Linked DNA regions of Saccharomyces cerevisiae S288C. The protein of the gene in region 1 interacts with the protein of each later gene in a biochemical or structural test. Each region holds a gene or a part of one and is shown in the gene's direction. Other genes may lie near its edges.

Region 1 (5,591 bases):
CCCAAAGGCTGTAGAAATATTGGGATCTGCAAAAAAGGAAAGATTGAGACTAATTGCCACCGCTATTGCAGGTTACTTGGCGTATAAGGATCTGCCAGGTAACAATGCATGGAGGCAGCAATGCAGAAAAATGTCCTCCGAATTAGATGATCCTTACTTGAGAGTTATTTTCGCCTTTATCGCAGACAATGATTGGTGGGATATTCTTTATGAACCTGCCATATCTTTGAGAGAACGATTAGGGGTAGCTCTAAGGTTTTTGAATGATACAGACCTAACCACTTTCTTAGATAGAACTTCATCTACAGTTATTGAAAACGGCGAATTAGAAGGTTTAATTCTCACCGGAATAACACCTAATGGTATCGATCTACTGCAATCATACGTTAATAAAACCAGCGATGTTCAGAGTGCCGCACTGATATCAATTTTCGGCTCCCCTAGATATTTCCGCGACCAACGAGTAGATGAATGGATACAAACTTATAGAGATATGCTTAAATCGTGGGAATTATTCTCCATGCGAGCCAGGTTCGATGTTTTAAGATCAAAATTATCGAGAACTAAAACTGGTGTATTAACTGCAGACATAAAGCCCCGGCAAATATATATCCAATGTCAAAACTGTAAACAAAACATCAACACTCCGCGCACATCCTCACCTTCTAGCGCCGTCTCTACTAGTGCTGGAAATTACAAAAATGGTGAAGCCTATAGAAGAAATAACGCTGACTACAAGAAATTTAATACTGGAAGTTCTGAAGCACAAGCAGCTGATGAAAAGCCAAGACATAAGTATTGTTGCCCACACTGTGGGTCTTCATTTCCAAGATGTGCCATATGTCTCATGCCTCTAGGAACGTCAAACTTACCTTTTGTAATAAATGGGACGCAATCACGCGATCCAATGCAGACAGAAGACTCTCAAGATGGTGCAAATCGCGAACTCGTAAGTAGAAAACTGAAGTTGAACGAGTGGTTCAGCTTCTGTTTGAGTTGCAACCATGGTATGCATGCCGGTCACGCTGAAGAATGGTTTGACAGACATAATGTTTGTCCCACTCCAGGTTGCACCTGCCAGTGTAATAAGTAGTATTGTACAATAAACCAAATCTTGCAACTTCTCTTTATTCTCACAATATATATACATAACCAAAGAAAAAACGTAATTAGTATAACATTGTATTTATGAGGCATTGCTATCTTCATTACCCAGCCCGCCTAGTTTTAAAGGCGAAAAAAACCGACGAAAAGAGTTAACAAGCGTGGATAATAAAGTTGATCTACTCTATCGAAAGTAATACGACAGGTTCAGGAGCAGTAAAAGAGCTACGATTTCACTGCTATTCAATTTGGCTGAGTAGAGACTGATTATTAACCATTGTAAAAGTCTCTGCCACCACTCGTCCACACTTACGTTAGAGGTATTCAGCGTCGATCCCCTTTCAGTATAGATTTTTAAAACTATATTAGATAATCAATAGGAATAAAACCTAGAACAGTAGCTGCGGAGAGAAGCTCTAGCGAGGAAAAGTAAGTATAGTATCACACATATAGGGAGCAGTTTACAGTCATGAGTTTTTCACAATTGGAGCAGAACATTAAAAAAAAGATAGCCGTCGAAGAAAATATTATTCGGGGAGCTTCTGCCCTCAAGAAAAAGACTAGCAATGTTATGGTCATTCAGAAATGTAATACGAATATTAGAGAGGCACGTCAAAATCTTGAGTACTTGGAGGATAGCTTAAAAAAATTACGGTTGAAGACCGCTCAACAAAGTCAGGGTGAAAATGGCAGCGAAGATAATGAGCGATGCAATTCGAAGGAATACGGGTTTCTTTCTACCAAATCGCCAAATGAACACATATTTTCTCGTTTGGATTTAGTAAAATATGATTGCCCTTCTTTGGCGCAAAGAATCCAATACATGTTGCAACAATTAGAATTCAAATTACAGGTGGAAAAGCAATACCAAGAAGCCAATACTAAATTGACTAAATTGTATCAAATTGACGGTGATCAACGTAGTAGTTCTGCGGCAGAAGGGGGTGCTATGGAATCCAAATACAGGATTCAAATGCTTAACAAAGCTTTGAAGAAATACCAAGCTATTAACGTTGACTTTGATCAATTTAAACACCAACCCAATGACATAATGGATAATCAACAACCGAAATTCCGAAGAAAACAACTGACTGGCGTTCTAACAATTGGAATAACTGCTGCTAGAGATGTTGACCATATACAATCACCGATGTTTGCCAGGAAGCCAGAGAGCTACGTTACTATAAAAATCGATGATACGATCAAAGCCAGAACGAAGCCTTCTAGAAATGACAGGTGGAGTGAAGATTTTCAAATTCCAGTTGAAAAAGGGAATGAAATCGAGATTACTGTATATGATAAGGTGAACGACTCGCTCATTCCAGTGGCTATAATGTGGTTACTGCTTTCCGATATCGCTGAAGAAATTCGTAAGAAGAAAGCCGGACAAACAAATGAACAACAAGGATGGGTCAACGCTTCAAACATTAATGGTGGTTCTTCTCTCGCTAGCGAAGAGGGAAGCACATTGACTTCTACATACTCAAACTCAGCCATTCAGTCTACTTCAGCAAAGAATGTGCAAGGCGAAAATACATCAACTAGTCAAATCAGTACGAATTCATGGTTTGTCTTAGAACCATCCGGGCAGATTTTGTTAACACTAGGATTCCACAAGTCTTCTCAAATAGAAAGGAAGCAGTTGATGGGTGGACTACATCGTCATGGTGCTATTATCAATAGGAAAGAAGAGATATTCGAACAGCATGGCCACCACTTTGTACAAAAATCATTTTACAACATTATGTGCTGTGCATATTGTGGTGATTTCCTTCGGTATACTGGGTTCCAATGTCAAGATTGTAAATTTTTATGTCACAAAAAATGTTACACCAATGTTGTTACTAAGTGTATTGCTAAAACTTCTACTGATACGGATCCGGACGAGGCAAAGTTGAACCACCGTATTCCTCATAGATTCCTGCCTACTTCAAACCGTGGTACTAAATGGTGCTGTCACTGTGGTTATATTTTACCATGGGGTAGACATAAAGTACGCAAATGTTCTGAATGTGGTATAATGTGTCATGCTCAATGTGCTCATTTGGTTCCCGATTTCTGTGGCATGTCGATGGAAATGGCTAATAAAATTCTGAAAACGATTCAAGACACAAAACGTAATCAAGAGAAAAAGAAGAGGACAGTTCCGTCGGCACAGTTGGGGTCATCTATTGGTACTGCCAATGGTAGTGATCTTTCCCCATCCAAATTAGCTGAAAGGGCAAACGCTCCTTTGCCTCCTCAGCCAAGAAAACATGATAAAACTCCTTCGCCTCAGAAGGTAGGAAGAGATTCTCCAACTAAGCAGCATGATCCTATTATTGATAAAAGAATTTCACTACAAACGCACGGGCGTGAGAAACTAAATAAATTTATCGATGAAAATGAGGCCTATTTAAATTTTACAGAAGGTGCACAACAAACCGCCGAATTTTCATCACCAGAGAAAACACTGGATCCAACGTCGAATAGACGTTCCTTGGGACTCACTGATTTATCTATTGAGCATAGTCAAACTTGGGAATCTAAAGATGATTTAATGAGAGATGAACTTGAACTGTGGAAAGCACAACGTGAGGAAATGGAACTTGAAATAAAACAAGATAGTGGGGAAATCCAAGAGGATCTAGAAGTTGATCACATTGATTTAGAGACCAAACAGAAACTAGACTGGGAGAACAAAAATGATTTCCGTGAAGCTGATTTGACAATAGATTCCACACACACAAATCCATTCCGCGATATGAATAGTGAAACCTTTCAAATTGAACAAGACCATGCTTCAAAGGAAGTACTACAAGAAACAGTGTCCTTGGCTCCTACAAGTACTCATGCCTCCAGAACCACTGATCAACAATCTCCGCAGAAATCACAAACCAGCACAAGCGCAAAGCATAAAAAGAGAGCGGCTAAACGTCGTAAGGTTTCATTAGATAATTTCGTATTACTCAAAGTTCTTGGTAAAGGTAATTTTGGTAAAGTTATTTTATCTAAATCAAAGAATACTGACAGGCTTTGTGCCATAAAAGTTCTGAAGAAAGATAATATTATTCAAAATCATGACATCGAGAGTGCAAGAGCAGAAAAGAAAGTATTTTTGTTAGCCACAAAAACTAAACACCCATTCTTAACCAATCTATACTGCTCTTTTCAAACTGAAAACCGTATATATTTTGCTATGGAGTTTATTGGGGGCGGTGACTTAATGTGGCATGTTCAAAACCAAAGACTATCTGTAAGAAGGGCCAAATTTTATGCCGCCGAGGTCTTACTGGCTCTGAAATATTTTCATGATAATGGTGTAATATACCGTGATTTGAAGTTGGAAAACATTCTATTAACTCCAGAAGGTCATATAAAAATTGCCGATTATGGTTTGTGTAAAGATGAAATGTGGTATGGTAATAGAACTTCTACATTTTGTGGCACACCAGAATTTATGGCTCCAGAAATTTTAAAAGAGCAAGAATATACCAAAGCTGTCGATTGGTGGGCATTTGGGGTGCTGCTATATCAAATGCTACTGTGCCAATCTCCATTCTCAGGAGATGACGAAGATGAAGTTTTTAACGCTATCCTTACCGATGAACCCTTATACCCAATAGATATGGCAGGTGAGATTGTACAAATATTCCAAGGCCTATTAACAAAAGATCCTGAAAAGAGGTTGGGTGCTGGTCCCAGGGACGCAGACGAAGTTATGGAAGAACCTTTCTTCCGTAACATCAACTTTGACGATATCTTAAACCTTCGCGTGAAACCACCCTACATCCCAGAAATTAAATCTCCGGAAGATACATCATATTTCGAGCAAGAATTCACCTCTGCGCCACCCACACTTACACCTCTGCCCTCTGTTTTGACAACGAGCCAGCAAGAAGAGTTTAGAGGATTTTCCTTTATGCCAGATGATTTGGATTTATGAAGAAAAGGTCATGCCATGATTTATTTAATTTTATATAAAACATCTAAGCGGAAAAGTTGAACTGTTCCGCTTCATAGGAGGAGAGGGTTTTTTTAATGAGATTTTGTTACATAAACTGAAACTATCCATTTTGATGCAATGCCTCTTTTTTGTTCGTACCTATCTTGGAGCATGCATATGAAAAACCTCGTTTAAGCGATGCGATGCGAAGCCGTATGTTCAACAATGCGCATTCTGTTTACATTATTAAGGAAGCATTTAAGAAACAGCTCAGTATTATATTACTACTAACATATTTCTAAAGTTGACAGATTATAAAAGTTACAAAATTGTCAATTGAACAGATACAAAAATTTTATAAATGTTTAAGAAAAGCAGGCATTTGAAGAATGTGTCAAATGCTATCAAATCCGCGAGAGTTCATGACGTCTCAAATGGTATTAACTCCAAATTTTTCGATACTAAGAAAATATGCACATACGGCATAAATGGACGAATCACTGTTACCACATTCGACTATACTCAAAGCCTTTTGGCAGTTGCAACTACTGCTGGGGAGATA
Region 2 (4,838 bases), on another chromosome or scaffold:
AATCGGGCGTTTTACCATGCTTATCAGTCTTTTGTATTGGCAGCCATTGCAACTTACCAAGTATGGATAAATTAGGCATGATTCTAGATGAGTTGACCAAAATGGATTCTTCAATAATCTCTGACCAGGAAGGTGCTTTTATAGCACCTATACTTAGAGGTATAACCCCAAAGAGTTCAATTCTTACAATAATGTTTGGCTTACCCAACTTGCAACATGAACACTATGAAATGATAAAGGTTCTTTATTCGTTGTTCCCAGATGTACACATGTATTGTGTGAAAGATTACATTAAAAAAGCTGCATCAGCAGTAGGCAGTATTCCGTCTCATACCGCAGCAACTATCGATACAATAGCCCCAACTAAATTTCAGTTTTCCCCCCCATATGCAGTTTCAGAGAATCCACTTGAATTGCCAATTTCTATGTCTTTATCCACTGAGACAAGCGCTAAAATTACAGGTACTTTAGGGGGTTATCTATTCCCTCAGACTGGTAGTGATAAAAAATTTTCTCAATTTGCAAGCTGCTCATTTGCCATTACTTGCGCCCACGTTGTATTATCTGAGAAGCAAGATTATCCAAACGTCATGGTACCTTCTAATGTTTTACAGACTTCTTACAAGAAAGTTTTAACGAAAGAATCAGATAGGTATCCTGATGGTTCGGTGGAGAAAACAGCATTTTTGGAGGAAGTGCAAAGAATAGATCAAAACTTGAACTGGCAGAAATCAAACAAATTTGGTCAAGTAGTTTGGGGCGAGAGAGCAATCGTAGATCACAGATTATCAGATTTTGCTATTATCAAAGTTAATTCATCATTCAAATGTCAGAATACCCTAGGTAATGGCTTAAAATCATTCCCAGATCCAACATTAAGATTTCAAAATTTACATGTGAAACGAAAAATTTTTAAAATGAAGCCTGGGATGAAAGTATTTAAAATAGGGGCTTCTACGGGATACACTTCAGGCGAGTTAAATTCTACAAAATTAGTTTATTGGGCCGACGGAAAGTTACAAAGTAGCGAGTTTGTCGTTGCATCTCCAACTCCTTTATTTGCTAGTGCGGGGGATTCAGGCGCATGGATCTTGACCAAGTTAGAAGATCGTCTAGGTTTGGGGCTTGTTGGTATGTTGCATTCATACGATGGTGAACAGAGGCAGTTTGGTTTGTTCACACCTATAGGTGATATCCTGGAGAGACTACATGCTGTAACTAAAATTCAATGGGACATTGATCCACAACTAGATGGATGATTTGCCTTTTTGAAGTTATTTAACCCATTACAGGATGAAAAAAAAAAGACATTGCACTTGCATCACTGTAGGAGCGACTATAAAACTCACCTTCATTGTTGCTTTATTTTTCCAAGTAAGGAAAAATATCTGTTTACTTTCATTTACCTCTTTGGTTTTGTTAGGCGGGCAAGAGAGACCCGGTCGTTTCAGAATGCAACTTTCTTTTGTTTGCATATCTTTTTTTTTCAGCGATGCAATTTTCAACATGCAGCCATTTCACCGAAAATACCTAAAAAGGAAATAGGCAATAAAATGACATCGTAAAGGTTTCAAATGCGAAGGTACCTTGGTTCACAGTATATAATATATTCAAATTATTAAAAGAAAATAAAACTATCCTTTTTGTTCACTCTGTCTTGAGAGTGTATATTATCTTATCTATTCAAAAAATTTCTATTTACTTTTATATTTCTTGACCATCCTTTACACAAAGTCTATAGATCCACTGGAAAGCTTCGTGGGCGTAAGAAGGCAATCTATTAATGAAGACACCAACAAGAGTTTCGTTTGAAAAAAAAATACACACTCCACCAAGTGGAGATCGTGACGCTGAAAGATCACCACCGAAGAAATTTCTAAGAGGTTTATCGGGTAAAGTTTTTAGAAAGACACCAGAATTTAAGAAGCAACAGATGCCCACATTTGGGTATATTGAAGAGAGTCAATTTACTCCAAATCTTGGCCTAATGATGTCCAAAAGAGGCAATATTCCTAAACCACTGAATCTTTCCAAGCCTATATCTCCCCCACCAAGTTTGAAGAAAACAGCGGGATCAGTAGCATCTGGTTTTTCGAAAACAGGACAACTTAGCGCTTTACAATCGCCAGTAAATATCACAAGTAGCAACAAATACAACATCAAAGCTACAAATTTAACTACTAGTTTACTCCGAGAGTCGATTTCTGATTCTACAACTATGTGTGATACTTTGTCAGACATCAATTTAACGGTTATGGATGAAGATTATCGCATTGACGGCGATTCATATTACGAAGAAGATTCACCAACTTTCATGATCAGCCTGGAAAGAAACATAAAAAAATGCAATTCACAATTCAGTCCAAAAAGGTACATAGGTGAGAAATGTTTAATCTGTGAGGAAAGTATTAGTTCCACATTTACCGGTGAAAAGGTTGTGGAGTCTACGTGTTCACACACTAGCCACTATAACTGTTATTTGATGCTATTTGAAACTCTTTATTTCCAAGGCAAGTTTCCTGAGTGTAAGATATGTGGCGAAGTGAGCAAGCCAAAGGATAAAGACATTGTTCCTGAAATGGTATCCAAACTTCTAACGGGCGCAGGCGCTCATGATGATGGTCCGTCATCCAATATGCAACAGCAATGGATTGATTTGAAAACGGCGAGAAGCTTCACAGGTGAATTTCCTCAGTTTACACCACAGGAGCAGCTCATTCGTACTGCTGATATTTCATGTGATGGGTTCAGGACACCACGCTTATCGAATAGCAATCAATTTGAGGCCGTTAGCTATCTTGATAGCCCATTTTTAAATTCACCATTCGTTAATAAAATGGCAACTACAGACCCTTTTGATTTAAGTGATGATGAAAAACTGGACTGTGATGATGAAATAGACGAAAGTGCTGCTGAAGTGTGGTTTAGTAAAACGGGTGGTGAACATGTTATGGTCAGTGTGAAGTTTCAAGAAATGCGGACCAGTGATGATTTAGGGGTCTTGCAAGATGTGAATCATGTGGACCACGAAGAACTAGAGGAAAGGGAAAAGGAATGGAAAAAGAAAATTGATCAATATATCGAAACAAATGTGGATAAGGATAGCGAATTTGGCAGTTTGATCTTGTTTGACAAACTAATGTATTCTGATGATGGCGAACAATGGGTAGACAATAACCTTGTAATATTATTCTCCAAATTTCTAGTTTTGTTTGATTTTGAAGAAATGAAGATCCTGGGTAAGATTCCTAGAGACCAGTTTTACCAGGTAATCAAGTTCAATGAGGACGTACTACTTTGTAGTTTGAAGAGCACTAATATACCTGAAATATACTTGAGGTTCAACGAAAACTGCGAAAAGTGGTTGCTTCCCAAATGGAAGTATTGTCTAGAAAATTCTTCACTGGAGACACTACCATTAAGTGAGATTGTTTCTACAGTGAAGGAACTCTCTCATGTGAATATAATAGGCGCTTTAGGAGCGCCGCCTGATGTTATATCAGCACAATCCCATGATTCTCGTCTACCGTGGAAAAGATTGCACAGTGATACGCCGCTAAAACTTATTGTATGTTTGAATTTGTCGCATGCTGATGGGGAACTGTATCGCAAGAGAGTTCTAAAGAGTGTTCATCAAATATTGGATGGATTAAACACAGACGATTTACTGGGAATAGTTGTTGTTGGAAGAGATGGATCCGGTGTAGTAGGCCCATTTGGCACCTTCATCGGAATGATAAATAAAAATTGGGACGGATGGACAACTTTCTTGGATAATTTAGAAGTGGTTAATCCAAACGTCTTCCGCGATGAAAAGCAACAGTATAAGGTAACATTACAAACTTGTGAAAGATTAGCGTCAACAAGTGCATACGTGGATACAGATGACCATATTGCAACTGGATACGCCAAGCAAATCTTGGTCCTCAACGGGAGTGACGTTGTTGACATTGAGCATGATCAGAAATTAAAAAAGGCCTTTGACCAGTTATCTTACCATTGGAGATACGAAATTTCGCAACGCCGCATGACTCCATTGAACGCTAGCATTAAGCAGTTTTTAGAGGAGCTGCACACTAAGCGTTATCTAGATGTAACTCTTCGTCTACCACAAGCTACATTCGAGCAAGTATATTTGGGGGATATGGCTGCGGGTGAACAAAAAACGCGTCTAATTATGGATGAACACCCGCATTCTAGTTTGATAGAAATAGAATATTTTGACCTGGTAAAGCAGCAAAGAATTCATCAGACCCTGGAAGTTCCCAACCTCTAGTAGTTCGGGAATCGAGGCCCGTATTTCGAGGCTTTTGCTTTTCCTTTTTTTTTTTTCGTTTCTCCACGTCTATACTACGCAATGACTGAATATATATAATGCGTCGTAAATAGCAGTTAATGTATAAATAGAAATTGAGTAAACTTTAATTTTGCCTAAGAAAGAACCTATTGGCGATAATTAAATCTCGTCATATATGCACTATATATTTTTTTTCGTTTGGCGTTGTTTATCTATTTCCCGAACGGGATTATTTCCCTGAATTAGTTCATAATGAAAAAAACTCGCAGCCGGGTAACCCTCTTCGTACCAAAAATGCACGTGTCTGTACACAATTATACCAACATGGTTGTAGCATTTCAAGTTAGCTTGTTCGAGCTGTATAGTAAAAGAAACGTCGATGTGGCTAATTTGTTCCGGTGACTTTCAGGTCACGTGTTTTCCATGCGTGCGTTGCTTCTTCCTGCAAATCCACGGCTCGTAAAAGAGGACAATCAGCTTTTTTCCGTGGTGCCTGGCCGGGCCGCCTATGCATTCCATACGATTTCCACGGGCCAGATCC
Region 3 (4,155 bases), 130 kb from region 1:
ACCTCATCGTTAACTTTGGCAACAACTTCACTACGTTCATAAAGCAACTCAAGGGTCATATATCCAATGAATTTTTCAGAAAATATGCTGGACTTCAACAGCTCTACCGTTTGCTCCAACCCGAATAAAATTTCATTTAGTTTTGTCGTATTAGAAGTAATATATATATAGGCTAGCTTGGCAACGTACTTCTTTCTTTGATAGCCACCTAATCTGTCGTGATTGCCTTGTTTTTTCTTTGCAGCATCGAAATGCTGTTTAATTTTGACAATTTCAGATTGTATTCTCTTTTCCTGCTCTTGTGCTTGTTGTGCAGAACGAAGATCTGCAATGAATAACTGTAGGCCCTTGATGGTACTGTTATTATTAGAAACACTTGAGTTTATAAGTGTTTTTTTGCGATCCATGGCTTATAAGATTAGTACTATAATAAAGGTTGCGAAATTGGAAACTCGATTGACTAGCAAATTCCAACTGTAACGTTCCTAGTGCTTCTTTGACCCTCAAATATTTCTCAGTGTTTATACCTCAGCTGGATCAAACAAGTGTTTTTTCACGTCGTCATGTGTTTCTTCAGCGCTCACTCCGGGGAAAAACTCCTATTCTTCCGCAGAGAGTATACAGTGCATACTAGAATTAATAAACTCATAGCCATGGCTAGATTACTTGATTGTGAATATCGATATTTTTCAATAGTTATATACATGTATACATGGTGTGTTCAATCCGTTCAACGTCCTCTGAAGAGTTTGTACTGTGGTTCTTGAGACTTTAAAATATTCAAATACTTCTTTGATGGCTTCTTTGCATTTTCATCGTAAAAATTCTTCACTGGGTCGTCTTTAGGATTTTTGAAACTATGTAATCCAACTCTAACCAGAGAATCCAAGGATACAAATTCATATACCCCAGGTAACTTGGTGCCTGCTTTTCTGAAGGCTTCCCGTGCGACTTTTTCATGCAAATCATCACCATTTATTTCGAAAAGGATCTTCCCTGTGGGTACCCTCACCATCCAGTGGTCAAACCCACCTTTACCTTTACCCATTCTTGTTTCGTTACCCTTGATACATACAGCAACGTTTGTACACAAACGCCTCCACAAATGACCATTGTTTAAAGGCCTGACATATCTCATAATTGCGTTATCTGCTTCCTTCAGCTGTTGCGCGGATATCCTAATACCTTCGCTTTTCAGTCGTAATCCGTACTTACCAAATTGCAAAGTGGATCCCTTTATTGAACCACCTGTACGAACTGGCACTCTACCTTTTTGCTTTTTCTGTACGATTTTGAAACGTGGGGCATATTCATGCTTGAATCTCCTAGCAATAGTGGTGTTATTTAAAAAAGCATTGGGGGAACTTTCTTTTAAAGTTAGCCCTCCCATCTTTATGGATAAATTCATTCTTGTTAAATAGGGGAACATGTTGCAAAATTCTATTCCTCTGTACCTCTGGTGAAAGGTAATCAACTTCCCGGCAATATGTACGCTCTACAAGTGGACTGTTAATTGGTAATAATTTCTTCCAAAGAAGTCTTCTTGTTATTTGAGCACCAATATGATATTATTATTTCCACCAGCATTCTTTCGTAATTAGTGATTCAACTGGATACAAAGCCTAGGGTTCTGTTCTTTGACCCTAAGTTTTAGAGTTAGGTTTCTCGTTATTGGTGATAACAAATTTTTTTTTTTTTTTTTTTTTTTTTTTTTTTCAAAATTTTTCACAGCTCATCTCATCGAGAGGAAAAGCATAGAATAAAATTTAGTTAAATGTTAAGTATTTTACAGTATTTGCCATTTTTCTGCCATTCTAAGGTCGAAAAAGTTTCAGGCAGTTTCTCAGTGAATTGGTCAATAGAACAAAAGAAACTTATAGACAGAAAATGAAGTACGTTGTTGTTTCAGGTGGTGTCATTTCGGGTATCGGTAAAGGTGTTCTTGCATCTTCAACTGGTATGCTAATGAAAACCCTCGGTTTAAAGGTTACGTCAATTAAAATTGACCCTTATATGAACATTGATGCAGGTACTATGTCTCCTTTGGAACATGGTGAATGTTTCGTGCTTGACGACGGTGGTGAAACAGATTTGGACTTGGGTAACTACGAGAGATACCTTGGAGTTACTTTGACTAAAGATCATAACATTACTACTGGTAAAATATACTCGCACGTTATTGCTAAGGAAAGAAAAGGTGACTATTTAGGCAAAACCGTGCAAATTGTCCCTCATTTGACCAACGCTATCCAAGATTGGATTGAGCGCGTGGCCAAAATTCCTGTAGATGACACCGGTATGGAACCAGATGTTTGTATCATTGAATTGGGTGGGACAGTTGGTGACATTGAAAGTGCTCCTTTTGTGGAGGCACTAAGACAATTCCAATTTAAAGTTGGAAAGGAAAATTTTGCCTTGATACACGTTTCTCTAGTTCCTGTCATCCACGGTGAACAAAAAACTAAGCCAACTCAAGCTGCCATCAAAGGTTTGAGGTCTCTTGGTTTAGTTCCAGATATGATCGCCTGTAGATGTAGTGAAACTTTGGATAAACCAACAATCGATAAGATTGCCATGTTTTGTCATGTGGGGCCTGAACAGGTGGTTAACGTTCACGATGTTAATTCTACTTATCACGTCCCATTGTTGCTACTGGAACAAAAGATGATTGATTACTTACACGCCAGATTAAAGTTAGATGAAATATCACTTACAGAAGAAGAAAAACAAAGAGGCCTGGAATTATTGTCTAAATGGAAGGCCACAACAGGTAACTTCGATGAATCCATGGAAACAGTGAAGATTGCTTTGGTTGGGAAATACACCAACTTGAAAGATTCTTATCTATCAGTGATAAAAGCATTGGAACATTCATCCATGAAGTGTCGTCGTAAGTTAGACATTAAATGGGTGGAAGCTACTGATTTGGAACCTGAAGCACAAGAAAGCAACAAAACTAAATTTCATGAAGCATGGAACATGGTCAGTACCGCAGACGGTATCTTAATCCCCGGTGGTTTTGGTGTTAGAGGTACTGAAGGTATGGTTTTGGCTGCTAGATGGGCTCGTGAAAATCACATTCCATTCTTAGGGGTTTGCCTGGGTTTACAAATTGCCACCATTGAATTTACACGTAGTGTGTTGGGAAGAAAAGACAGTCATTCGGCAGAATTTTATCCAGACATTGATGAAAAAAATCACGTTGTCGTTTTCATGCCTGAAATTGACAAGGAAACCATGGGGGGCTCAATGAGATTAGGTTTGAGACCAACATTTTTCCAAAATGAAACTGAATGGAGTCAAATCAAGAAGTTATACGGTGACGTCTCCGAAGTCCATGAAAGACACCGTCACCGTTACGAAATCAATCCAAAGATGGTTGATGAATTGGAAAACAACGGGTTGATCTTTGTAGGTAAGGACGACACTGGAAAGCGTTGTGAGATTTTGGAATTAAAGAATCACCCATACTATATTGCTACTCAATATCACCCAGAATACACATCAAAGGTCTTAGATCCATCCAAACCATTTTTGGGTTTAGTTGCTGCTTCCGCTGGTATCCTTCAAGATGTCATTGAAGGTAAGTACGATCTTGAGGCCGGCGAAAACAAATTCAACTTTTAAATCAAAATTTTAGAATTAAAAGTCTACTGCATTAACAAAGATAAATTTCTAATTTTTTTATGTATATTATATTTTTTGGAAGAGAAAATATTTGTAGTGCTTCTCTACACTGTTTTTTTTTTTTCGTTCATGTTGTCTTTCCTCTCCTGAATATATTTAATTTAATAAATCTATCTTATCTGACATATAGAAGCTGTTTCGATAGAGTTTTCGACTGGCCAACAGTTGTTACTGACTGGATAAAAATTTACGATTTTTCCTCCAATCTTGGCTTTCAAAATGAGAAATAAGAGTCTTGAAATTCAAAGAATGTATCTATGTATGAATATAGAATATGCTCAAATATTTAGTTTTGTATAAGGAAGTTCTAAATAATTTTCCATGGCGTGCTTTTACCAAAGTACTGAACAGGGAGATTATTTATCATTTTTTTTCTTACTCTTCGAGTTGAAGTCGATTGTAGGTGATGACATGAACATTAAATAAAATGTACTTGAACAAATCAGACCAGCAAACACCCACATCGCA
Region 4 (2,944 bases), on another chromosome or scaffold:
CAGTTGCTGATATAGATATTGCATTATCATTCTTTTCATCATCGGATAAACTTTCTTGAAAGCCTCTAGTGAATACCAGCTCTGTCCCGGCAGATATTAAAAATCCCCTCCATTTGCCTTCCCATAATAGTTTTAAAGTCTTGTCACGTAATGACGTGCTTAATTTCCAAACACTGGTAAAAATGGAACTATTTATTTTGTTATCAAATTTTTCGATGGTAGATCTTTCTTCATCGATTTTTCTTAATGACGACGAGAATGCATAAGTTAAATCATTTAATAGCTTTTGTTTGTGAACAGGTATATCTAGTGTAGAAGGAATATCGTTAACAGCTGAATTCAGATCCGGTACATTTTCGTGCAGTAGTTTAGTCGCTCTGCTGTTTGGATTTATATCAACCAATTCGTCGGAGATTGGTTCTAATTTATCATTATTGTTTTTATTGGTTTCAAGCAAATGATGCTTTTTTTGCCAAAATTCGCACCCAAATGAAAGATTTGATTCAATCGAATAAAGATTAAAATCATACTTCGCGCAAAAAGTAGAATTTGTCCCTGTCTTGGCCGAATATGTGGAGGATATATGGCCGAATAATGGATTCCAAGATAATGTCAAAGTTAGTGGTCGTCCTGTGTTTGTAGAATGTGTGTAATATCTTAAAGTTGTCGAACAACCGGGGCTTAAACTTACTAACCCTAACCAAAATTCAGCACCAAGCGACAACGAAGAATTATTGTACAGTGAGGTGTTAAACTTGGAAGGCGTGGTAAGGAAATTGTGTAATACTCTATAACCACATAATAGATCACTGGTGGAAAATATCCACTCCTGTAAATTGCGGTGAGAATCTCTTTGAAAATAGCACGTTAAAACGTTTAAGCTTTCTTTGAAACTACTGACACCCTTAAGCATAAATTGGGTTTGTGGACTTAGTCGTTTTATTATCATTGCTTCTAAATCAGAGCTGGGGTAGTACATTCTACCATAATAAAGGGATTTTTTAACAAATTTCGAGTCATGTAGTAATTTCTTGTCATTGTCGACTGTGGTGTTGTCACTACTCAACGTATTCGCACTACTAACACTGAAATTGAGGTTTGGTTGCAATTGTCTGTATGTTTCGGTGGCATCTTGTAATGGGATATCAGTAGAGTTGCGCATGAATTTCTCCAATTGCTGTGCATCGGAGTATAAATAACTCAGAGAACCATTTATCCTGGACCTCGTAGAAAAATCTAAAGAATTGAATGTATTGGGAGTAGATTTGTTGGAAATTTGCAGGTGTATTGCTGAGGGAATTCGGAAATCTAATAATGTTCTCGATGTGGCCGTTATATCCTCGTAGCTATTTTGCGTACTCCAATGGGTGCTCTGATAAAATGCCCTTAGTACTTGGTCCATATAGGGTAGCATCAAGATCGGTCTTCTCTGTTCGTGTCTTTTTCCTAACGTATATTTGCTTTGTTTCTTCACTCAACAATAAAGTCAAAGTAAAATTAAATACTAATTATTCTTAAAAGGGAAGATGCGAAATTTAGCGAAAATCTATTGATTATACACACAAAGGAAGAAAGGTAGTGGAAAGCTAAATAAAGGAGGTCATGGAGCCAGAGAGCATAGGCGATGTGGGGAACCATGCCCAGGATGATAGTGCCAGTATAGTGTCCGGGCCTCGCAGGCGTTCTACTAGCAAGACATCCAGTGCGAAGAATATACGGAACTCCAGTAATATCTCTCCAGCATCGATGATTTTCAGGAATTTGTTGATACTGGAGGATGATTTAAGACGCCAAGCTCACGAACAAAAGATACTGAAGTGGCAATTCACTTTGTTCTTAGCGTCTATGGCCGGTGTAGGCGCATTTACCTTCTACGAACTTTATTTCACTTCAGATTATGTCAAGGGCCTCCATAGGGTTATTTTGCAATTCACTCTTTCTTTCATTTCCATTACTGTAGTTCTTTTTCATATCAGTGGACAATATAGAAGAACTATCGTCATTCCAAGAAGATTTTTTACCTCTACTAATAAAGGGATTAGGCAGTTTAATGTGAAGCTAGTTAAAGTACAGTCTACGTGGGACGAGAAATACACAGATTCAGTAAGATTTGTGAGTCGAACAATTGCTTATTGTAATATTTATTGTTTGAAAAAATTTCTGTGGCTTAAAGACGATAATGCCATTGTGAAATTTTGGAAAAGTGTCACGATACAATCCCAACCGAGGATCGGAGCTGTGGATGTGAAATTAGTCCTCAACCCCAGAGCATTTAGTGCAGAGATTAGAGAAGGATGGGAGATTTATAGAGACGAGTTTTGGGCCAGGGAAGGTGCTAGAAGACGCAAACAAGCGCACGAACTCCGACCTAAATCAGAATGAAAGAGTTGGAGGGCTTCTTCCTTCGAATAAGAGGTCATATTTACCTATGTAAAATTGTAACCATCTATGTTCACACATAAATTATATTTTATACATTATTAGAAGTGAAGCTGTTGTGTCGTGAAAATTTTACAAATCCGTCATTTCATATTTAAGTTTTCCAACAAGTGCTAGAAAACCTAGGGGTTGTTGAAATTGGTTAAACAAGGCATCTTATTATACATACAACAGCATAACGCTAGAGGGGCAAGAAGGAAGAACTTAAAATAATAGGTGTAAAATGACTTTGGCTTTTAATATGCAACGGTTGGTGTTTCGTAATTTGAATGTTGGGAAGCGCATGTTCAAGAACGTCCCCTTATGGAGGTTTAATGTCGCCAATAAATTAGGAAAGCCCTTAACTCGCTCTGTAGGGTTAGGCGGTGCTGGCATAGTTGCTGGTGGCTTTTACTTGATGAATCGCCAGCCTTCTAAGTTGATATTCAATGATTCTTTAGGGGCAGCTGTCAAACAACAGGGTCCCTTGGAACCAACTGTGGGCAACAGTACGGCAATTACCGAG

The links.
Region 2: of the proteins of PKC1 (region 1) and FAR1, one has a biochemical effect on the other in vitro, tested with the Saccharomyces cerevisiae proteins (one study listed by BioGRID).
Region 3: of the proteins of PKC1 (region 1) and URA7, one has a biochemical effect on the other in vitro, tested with the Saccharomyces cerevisiae proteins (3 studies listed by BioGRID).
Region 4: of the proteins of PKC1 (region 1) and SPO7, one has a biochemical effect on the other in vitro, tested with the Saccharomyces cerevisiae proteins (2 studies listed by BioGRID).

The regions. Positions count from the first base shown.
Region 1 is NC_001134.8:13,679-19,269, reverse strand, and holds PKC1 (protein kinase C), read left to right. Parts: upstream 1-1,573; coding exon 1,574-5,029; downstream 5,030-5,591. Other genes in the region: SEA4 (Sea4p), read left to right, coding at 1-1,093; putative Rab GTPase-binding protein SRO77, read left to right, coding at 5,391-5,591. UniProt on the Saccharomyces cerevisiae protein: Required for cell growth and for the G2->M transition of the cell division cycle. Mediates a protein kinase cascade; it activates BCK1 which itself activates MKK1/MKK2.
Region 2 is NC_001142.9:123,274-128,111, reverse strand, and holds FAR1 (cyclin-dependent protein serine/threonine kinase inhibiting protein FAR1), read left to right. Parts: upstream 1-1,783; coding exon 1,784-4,276; downstream 4,277-4,838. Other genes in the region: SSY5 (Ssy5p), read left to right, coding at 1-1,259. UniProt on the Saccharomyces cerevisiae protein: Inhibitor of the cyclin-dependent kinase CDC28. Necessary for cell cycle arrest. Involved in pheromone response. Contributes to mating efficiency. Required for oriented polarization of yeast cells in response to mating pheromones.
Region 3 is NC_001134.8:143,461-147,615, reverse strand, and holds URA7 (CTP synthase URA7), read left to right. Parts: upstream 1-1,887; coding exon 1,888-3,627; downstream 3,628-4,155. Other genes in the region: APL3 (Apl3p), read right to left, coding at 1-407; mitochondrial 54S ribosomal protein uL16m MRPL16, read right to left, coding at 731-1,429; MIN6 (Min6p), read right to left, coding at 4,044-4,155. UniProt on the Saccharomyces cerevisiae protein: Catalyzes the ATP-dependent amination of UTP to CTP with either L-glutamine or ammonia as the source of nitrogen.
Region 4 is NC_001133.9:134,252-137,195, forward strand, and holds SPO7 (Nem1-Spo7 phosphatase regulatory subunit SPO7), read left to right. Parts: upstream 1-1,602; coding exon 1,603-2,382; downstream 2,383-2,944. Other genes in the region: MDM10 (Mdm10p), read right to left, coding at 1-1,414; FUN14 (Fun14p), read left to right, coding at 2,663-2,944. UniProt on the Saccharomyces cerevisiae protein: Regulatory component of the NEM1-SPO7 complex which acts as a phosphatase and dephosphorylates the phosphatidic acid phosphohydrolase PAH1. Essential for the formation of a spherical nucleus and meiotic division.